2 linked regions of the Drosophila melanogaster genome follow. The protein of the gene in region 2 purifies or fractionates together with the protein of the main gene of each other region. This does not show direct contact. Each region holds a gene or a part of one and is shown on either strand. Other genes may lie near its edges.

Evidence for each region. The genes of interacting proteins can lie anywhere in the genome.
Region 1: the proteins of Bcat (region 2) and Lipt1 purify together in Drosophila melanogaster (affinity purification with mass spectrometry, with the first as the bait; one large-scale study listed by BioGRID). This does not show direct contact.

Annotation. Positions count from the first base shown.
Region 1 is NT_033778.4:16,195,124-16,198,878, reverse strand, and holds the start of Lipt1 (lipoyltransferase 1), read right to left. Parts: upstream 1,838-3,755; 5' UTR 1,552-1,837; coding exon of another isoform or gene 1,363-1,551; 5' UTR 1,099-1,362; coding exon 541-1,098; intron 395-540; coding exon 1-394. Other genes in the region: CG42837 (uncharacterized protein), read right to left, coding at 1,363-1,551; CG44242 (uncharacterized protein), read right to left, coding at 2,077-2,187, 2,277-2,408; caly (calypso), read left to right, coding at 2,970-3,162, 3,222-3,755.
Region 2 is NC_004354.4:13,394,820-13,398,574, reverse strand, and holds the start of Bcat (branched chain amino acid transaminase), read right to left. Parts: upstream 1,677-3,755; 5' UTR 1,305-1,676; coding exon 1,275-1,304; intron 1-1,274.

The DNA.
Region 1 (3,755 bases), on a different chromosome or scaffold from region 2:
GCACGGTGAACTTGGGAGTCTTGCCGATGACCCAGTCCCAAGAGCTGTAGTTGGAGCGCAATTCCTCAATGCCGGGGAACCATTTCTCTGTGGGATTGACCAGCTGAAAGCCGCGCTGCTGCATCGTCTGTGTGCTGCCGCCGTCTTCAAGCGTAGTTGCAGCCGTTCTCAAATACTCGTAACCCACGGCGGAACGCAGCTGAGCAACGTTCACCGTGCGATTGACATCAACCAGGTTGCGAATGGGCGACGGCACCGAAGCCGTGGCCTTGCTAATATAATTGGCCGGCTCCCGCACCAGAGATTCGCCCAAGTGCAATTTGTTGGCGCTGGCCAAAATGGTGCAGTGATGGTACGAGTTCGGGTGTCCCAGCTTGGCCGCAGTGCCGGAAATCTGTAATTGAACAAGGGCATACTCGTTGAGTGGGCAAATAAAGACCAGATGCACAGCCCCAGCTGTTGGTTAAGTGAGCTGATGCCAATGTGAGGGATCAGCCGGGGTCGCATCATTCCTTGATAAGAGCCACCGCTCCTCCTCACCTTCTTATTCATCACTACAATGTCGTCGCGCTCATTTATCTCTGCCTTGATGGCCCATTCGCGGAACAAGGCCCTGGTCACGATGTTCAGGTTGTACTTGCGATCGTAGCGCTCTCTGGGCGAGAAAAAGGTGCAGTTGAGGTTCCCAAGATCATGGTACACCGCTCCACCGCCACTATTGCGGCGTGCAAGTGTTATGCCGCGTTCCACCAGCTGCGAAACATTAGCCTCGGTGAAGGGATTCTGGTGGCGACCAATGACTACGCACGGGTCGTTGGCCCACAGCAGCAGCACATGGTGGCGGCTGAAATCAAAGTTTTTGTACAGCCAATCCTCTAGAGCGAGGTTGGTGAACACATCGCTGGACTGCGAGATGAACACGGACTTCTTGATCTCCGAATCGGGAACCACGGGCGGTGGCTGGCGCCTCTGCTTTTTAATCTCCTGCTGTCCAGCAGATGGTGGCTCCACTCCGCTGGATGCCAGGCGCGTGGCCTGAGCGGCGGAGGAGAGAAGTAGCCGCAGCTGGCTGGAATTGCGTCGCAACAGCATGCTCATGGCTTACACAAGGAAGTGGGGCGTACGGGTGTGTGTGATTTCTGTTGCCAGGTGATCTGGGACACAATGCACTTGCAAGCGAAACAAGGTCAATGGTGTCGAAAAAAGCTTTTGGCTGGTTGATTGGTTGGTTGGTTGGTTGGTTTCTACGGTTGTCGTCTGCCTGGTTCTGTGTGGTCCGTGTGTGCTCTTCTTTAGGTTATGTATGGTCTACTATCTACGCTATTCGTTTTGGTCTTTAAATGGCTTTGGTCGCTCTGGACTTTAGACTGTGGCGTTCTTAGTGGCTCGGGATGTGTTTGCAGCCACGGAGCTGGCCGAGATGAGGTATTCGTGCAGGGCGGGCGTCTGATGCAGCCACTTCCACGTTTGATGCAGACCACAGACACGCTTACGGAGACCCAGGCAGTCCTTGTTGGCACAGTTCACTGGCATACTACGCCTCACACCCATCCAGGTGGGGGATACAACGAATCCGGTGTTTACGGGGGGCCGCAACGTTACGGGGCCCAAATAAGATGGCTAAAGGGTTTCCTTTTTAGCTGACACCAAAATTTTCCACTCTTTGTTCGCGGCGCACGGGAACTGCGGGGGGCGGGGGCAAGGCGGATGATCGCAGTGGGCGGGGGTAGCAGTTATAGCACAAACAAACGAACGAACACAGAGCCGATCGAAAAGCAGCTGCGCGTGTGGAAATATCACGACCGATTGGCTTTCGTTTCAGATGAGCAGTGGTGCTCGCTGCTCTTGTTCTTCCTCGACGGTCCCCAAATGCCATTCGCAGCGAACGACGAAAGCTCCGGTCATTAAAAAAAAAAAAAAACAACGGCACTCTGGCGCCGCACTTAATTTATTTTCATCTTTTTAATTCGAACTTGTATAATTTACGCTAAACATGTGTGATAATCCGAGACGTCTACAACAGATGTGACATTAATATGTGTTATATTTTATAAGCAGCATACTTTGAGAGCCCCTTCAGTTTGGAATACCCCCATTATTAATGTAAGCCGCCTCTTCGGGATCAATTGGCTTGCGGGCAAATCGTGCCGGCAGCTCGTAGTCCTCAATTGCTGGTCCACCGGCCAACTAAATGTAGAAGGGACAATTACGAAGATTAGTTATGATGCACAGAAGAAGCCGTGGTATTGTGTATAAATGAAATGGGCTGGGTTAACCTTTTTGCCTCCTGCGGCCTGGGAACTTGCCTTCTGGTTTGCTGTCTGGGCGCCCGGCACTCCTGCACCACCCTTGCGGAAGTGTATGAGCGGTACGCGCTTAGCCAGCGCAACTAGTGTTGGTCGAACCATAGCAACAGCAATTGAATTTCTACCAAAAAGCCAAGGCAAAAGTAAAAGTTACGTGAATAACAGCTGACTGTAAACTCATACAAGCGCTGCCAGATCGTTAAAATTGCATGCCATTCGCCGCGCAATGGATTATTATCGTTATTGAAATTTACGTGATCCTGTGAATGGCTAAGGCAGATAAGAGGAAGCGCAAAAAACTATTTTGGTCCAAATCGGTAATATTTTTATATTTAAAATGAATTGGGGACAGAAGATAACCGGCAGCCGACGGCCCTAACTTCTGGACGGACATCGCCAGTATATGGATTGCTCCTAAAACTAGCAAACCAACGTACTTATGCTCTATGCAACAATAAATGTCATATGAAAACAAACTATTGAAGACGTTTTTATGAGTATAACCGGTAACTATTTCATTTGTTTATTATATTAATGACAAATAAACTTATACGTAAACATTCCTTTGATAGATTTTCATGTGTATATCCTTCTCTGTGCAGAAAAACGAAATTAAAGTAACATCTCGGATACTTTCGCAGCAATTGTATAAGCCATACAAATATGAACGCTGCTGGAGGAGGTAGTGGTGCCCAGGCGGCCGCAGTGGCGGCAGGCAACAACAGTCTCAGCCACAATGCGCTACTTTCCACGGCCTCAGGAGCCACCACCATGCCTATGGCCCAACTGGCAGACGGTTGGTTGGAGCTGGAGTCCGACCCAGGTCTCTTCACACTGCTTCTCAAGGATTTTGGATGTAATCTATTTGAATATGCCTTGTTCCACACATCCTATTAAAATATGTACTATCCTTAGGTCACGATGTACAGGTGGAGGAGGTGTACGACCTACAGAAACCCATCGAGAGTCCATATGGCTTCATATTTCTCTTCCGCTGGATCGAAGAGCGACGCGCCAGACGCAAAATTGTGGAGACAACTGCTGAGATATTCGTCAAGGATGAGGAGGCCATTTCCAGCATTTTCTTCGCCCAGCAGGTAGTCCCCAATAGCTGTGCCACACACGCGTTGCTTTCGGTGCTCCTGAACTGCAACGAGAACAATCTTCAGCTGGGCGACACCCTGAGTCGACTAAAAACCCACACCAAAGGCATGAGTCCGGAGAACAAGGGGCTGGCTATTGGCAACACTCCGGAGCTGGCCTGTGCCCATAACTCACACGCAATGCCGCAGGCTCGGCGCCGTCTAGAAAGGACGGGAGCGGGCGTCTCAAGTTGCCGCTTCACGGGTGAGGCGTTTCACTTCGTTAGCTTTGTGCCTATCAATGGACAACTGTTTGAGCTGGATGGCTTGAAACCGTATCCCATGAATCACGGCGGTTGGGAGGATA
Region 2 (3,755 bases):
GAAAAAATTGAACACATAAGTCGATTTGATCATGCTCTGCTGACAGCTCTTGAAGAGCAAGAACCTTGACCCTATTTAATCCCAATTCCCGAATTGTAAAGAAGTGTAGTTAATGGCACCTTGCATCTCTGAGTATATAGTTTTATACCGAAAACTATCAAAAACAACTAGACTTATTTGACTTTCCTTGCAGAACTATAACTATGTTCTTGTCAATAAAAGCGTTAATTAAATCCACATCGCTCATCGATGATTGTATGTACGTATGTTAATTTGGGTCTAGACCCTAGCCGAAATCGTTGATTTGCCGAAAATGATTTGCACACTAATTAATACTCAATTTGCAAGGCAGACAAAGTCTCGTTTTGCGGCGTTTGGCTTGGACTGATGTAACCCCATATAGTCTAAATTGCAGGTCAGACGAGAAGTCAGCGGTTTAGATTTGATTCCGGCTCTGCTTAGATTCCGAACCTAATCTTCGGTAGCATATTTTATTTGATTACATTTCAGATGGCTGATGAAATCGGCCAAACTGGCGACTAAGCCAAAAAGCTGACAGCCAAAAGAAAAACGCCAAGTTGACATCCATGGTCGCCATTGCATCAGCCAAAAATGTTGATTTAAACTACTCGAAAAACTAGCAAACATGCGCGTTCAAAAACTCGTTCGAAAATCGAAAAACAAATGAAACGAATATGTCGTCTATAAGTCTGACTGCCCATAGTACTTATCGCTGTTTTTTTTCTTTTTTGGTGCGAAGCGGTATGGGAAGCGATAAGAACAGGCCATAAATGTCCAAAATAAAGTATTAATGGGCTCTATTCTATTTATACATAAGTGGTCTGGAGCGCTGGGAGCGTGTCAGGTTGTTCGAAAATAGTCTACCTATAAAAAAAAAAGTGTGTAGATAATCCATCTACCGGATCTCGAAGCATCAAAACTTTTTTAGTCCCCAAATATTTGCTTATAACTCAAATGGATTTCTATTTTTGGACAACCACTTTCAAACTGGCATAGTTTGGAAACAAAGAAAGATTTTCGAATCTAAAAAATAACATTAAAAATAACCGATTCTTTGCAATAGTTACTTGATATGCAATAGTGATTTTTGCTTAGATTCGTTATAACTTTCTGCCTTTTTGGATTGATAAACAAATCAGGGTAATAATTCCGATTTCGGCCTGTTGCTAGCCTATTAAAATTTTTATTTCTTGTCGCCGCCTGAGATTGTGAGATGATAATGATCGCTTTTTGCTTGACTTTTGATTACAAACCTTTGCGTTAATTGCCATTTTGGTCGTCATCTTGTTGAATTTGGCTGCGAAATCTTCTGTCTCGTTACTTTCAGAAACTTTTGGATTTGGACTCGCTTTGCTGCTCTACGAAATTTCCGTTTTTTTTTTTTTTTGTATCGCTCGTTTAGCGTCTCTTGCACTCGCACTTTGCCGCACTTACGCGAACTGACGCGTTAAATATTGTATTTCTTGGTTCTAGTTTAATGAGCAAGGAACTGCTGCACTTTGCACAGTAAAAAAAAAATTCTTAAAGCACGCAGTTGTGTTTTATTTCGGTGTATGGATTTACTTTCTTTTTTTCTTTCTACAGCCCTTCTGCTTCTGCTCTTTTTCTTTTCTCAGTTCGATCTTCACGGCACGAAGTCTCTGCAAGAAATGAGCTCTCGCCGCCGTTATGGTAATATATATAGCCGATCCGCGGTGCGCATGTGTGTGTGAACGAATCGTACGATTACCGTTCGAGCGCCATTTTAAGAGAATTGCACAGGAATGGCCGCTAAGAGAGCGCAAGAGAGCATACACTGCGATAAGAAGTGTGCATATATGTTGAATGGAATTATTTACTTGCAAAGAATTATATATTGAGATTGCAGCCAATGATTGTCAGCTAAACCATCTCTAAAATATATTATGTGCGGGCAAATGTCAAGCAAAAAAAAAAAAAATGAAAAGGTGAAGTTTTTGCAATAATCTATTACCTGTAAAAATAATAAATATATGAATATAAATAAAATTGAAATATGCAAAAAGTCAATAAACATCATTGTTTTTAATTGCAAACGATTTAATTAACGTATTTGTTTATAACTAAGTCTTACTTTTTAATGGCAACACAAGTAGGTGAGCATTCTGTGAGGTAAGCCCATTAAAGCAACTGATAATATTTATATGCATTGAATCTGGTTTTTATCAGTGTAGCAAAAACTTAAGATGCCGAAAATCGAATGATTTTTTTTGGCTCCCTTAGCGAATCTCTTGCTGTTTTTCGGCATTTCGGGTTTCATACGATCGATCGGTCGGCTCAACTTGTTGTTTCTGCCCCCGCTAAAAGGGGGGGCTATGTTGCTGGGTGGTGAGTGGTGAGCGGGGAGGGGAGGGGGCGTGAAGCCCATGTATACCCCCCATGGGCTGCGTACTTATTTGGGCGCAGCGATCGGCGATTTCGGCCGACATCATGGGTTTTGTTTTTTTATTTCTCGTTTTTTAGCTGCCTTCTCCTTCTGGCGTCGCTTTTTTTGCTTCGACAATTTCGGGCAATTATTTTTGCTAAATTTGTCAGCTTTTTTGACATTTTTGCTCCGCCAAGTTGAGTTTGGCTTCTCTTCGGATTCTAGTTCTTTGTTTGCGTTACCCCAACGTGTGTACTTTTCCATTAAAAGTGAGTACACAATGAAATAGCTACAATGGGATGTCTATATTATATAGTAAATATACTATATACATACTTGGATTTGTGTCCGAAGAACATAAGTTTGAGATATGTGAATTTAAGTAATACATTTTTTGACAATTTTAGACTTAAAGAAACTAATTCTAAAGCTTATATTTGTTTTGGCCCATTTAAACTGCTTTTAGATCGTAAGTTTACAAATAATAGTAAGTTAGTTACTTTTTAAAGATATTAGATATTGAAGTAGATATTTTTGAGTAGCATCCTAATAGATTATGGCCTGGAAATTTAGGTTTTTTTACGACGCACATATGGTATCAGTATATTGAATACTTCCTCCCTCACTTCCTGCTACCTGCCGAACTTCTTGTTCTTTTTTTACCACGCAAAAATATTGGATGGGAAATGTGGAAAACATGACGTGCACGTTTTTTATTTCCCTGTTTTTTCCAGCCCGTAGTTTCCCAACTGATAAGGCTGCTGGGAATTGGATTTAGATTTGAATTTGGCTGAGTTACATGGCTGTGTGCTTAGACGATTGTGCAAAACAGATTTGAGCTGGGCACAAACAAAAAAAAAACACACACACACTTGATCTGACACCCATGTAATCCTGGCTGATGCAATATCTAAATTAGCTACATCACAACCACTGCGCTGATAAGAGAAAAATCAAGTTTTCTTGGGCATTTTTCACGCCATGTGCCGCCTGGCGCTTAAGAGAGCTGCGATCTCAGTTGTAAGAGCTAAATTTTACACGATTCTCTTGAGGTAATTGTAATGATAATGCTGGTCTAGATGCTTCTGCCTCACTCTCCGTCTCAGCTGGCTGATAAACAAATAAATTAGTGGCTTTCAATGTCAGTGGACGCGGTAGGATAGTTGCGGCATCGCACTCGGTCACCCGGTGACCAGTTTGTCGCCTGGTCACTGGGTCATCCGGATATTCGACCTTGTTGTTCCCTTCCAAAAAAGGACCTTGAAGGGTTTTTTTTTTGGGATTGTTCCTATGCTTATCCAAGGTGAAATCCTAAACTGGAGAATGAAATATCTTTAAAATGATACATGTA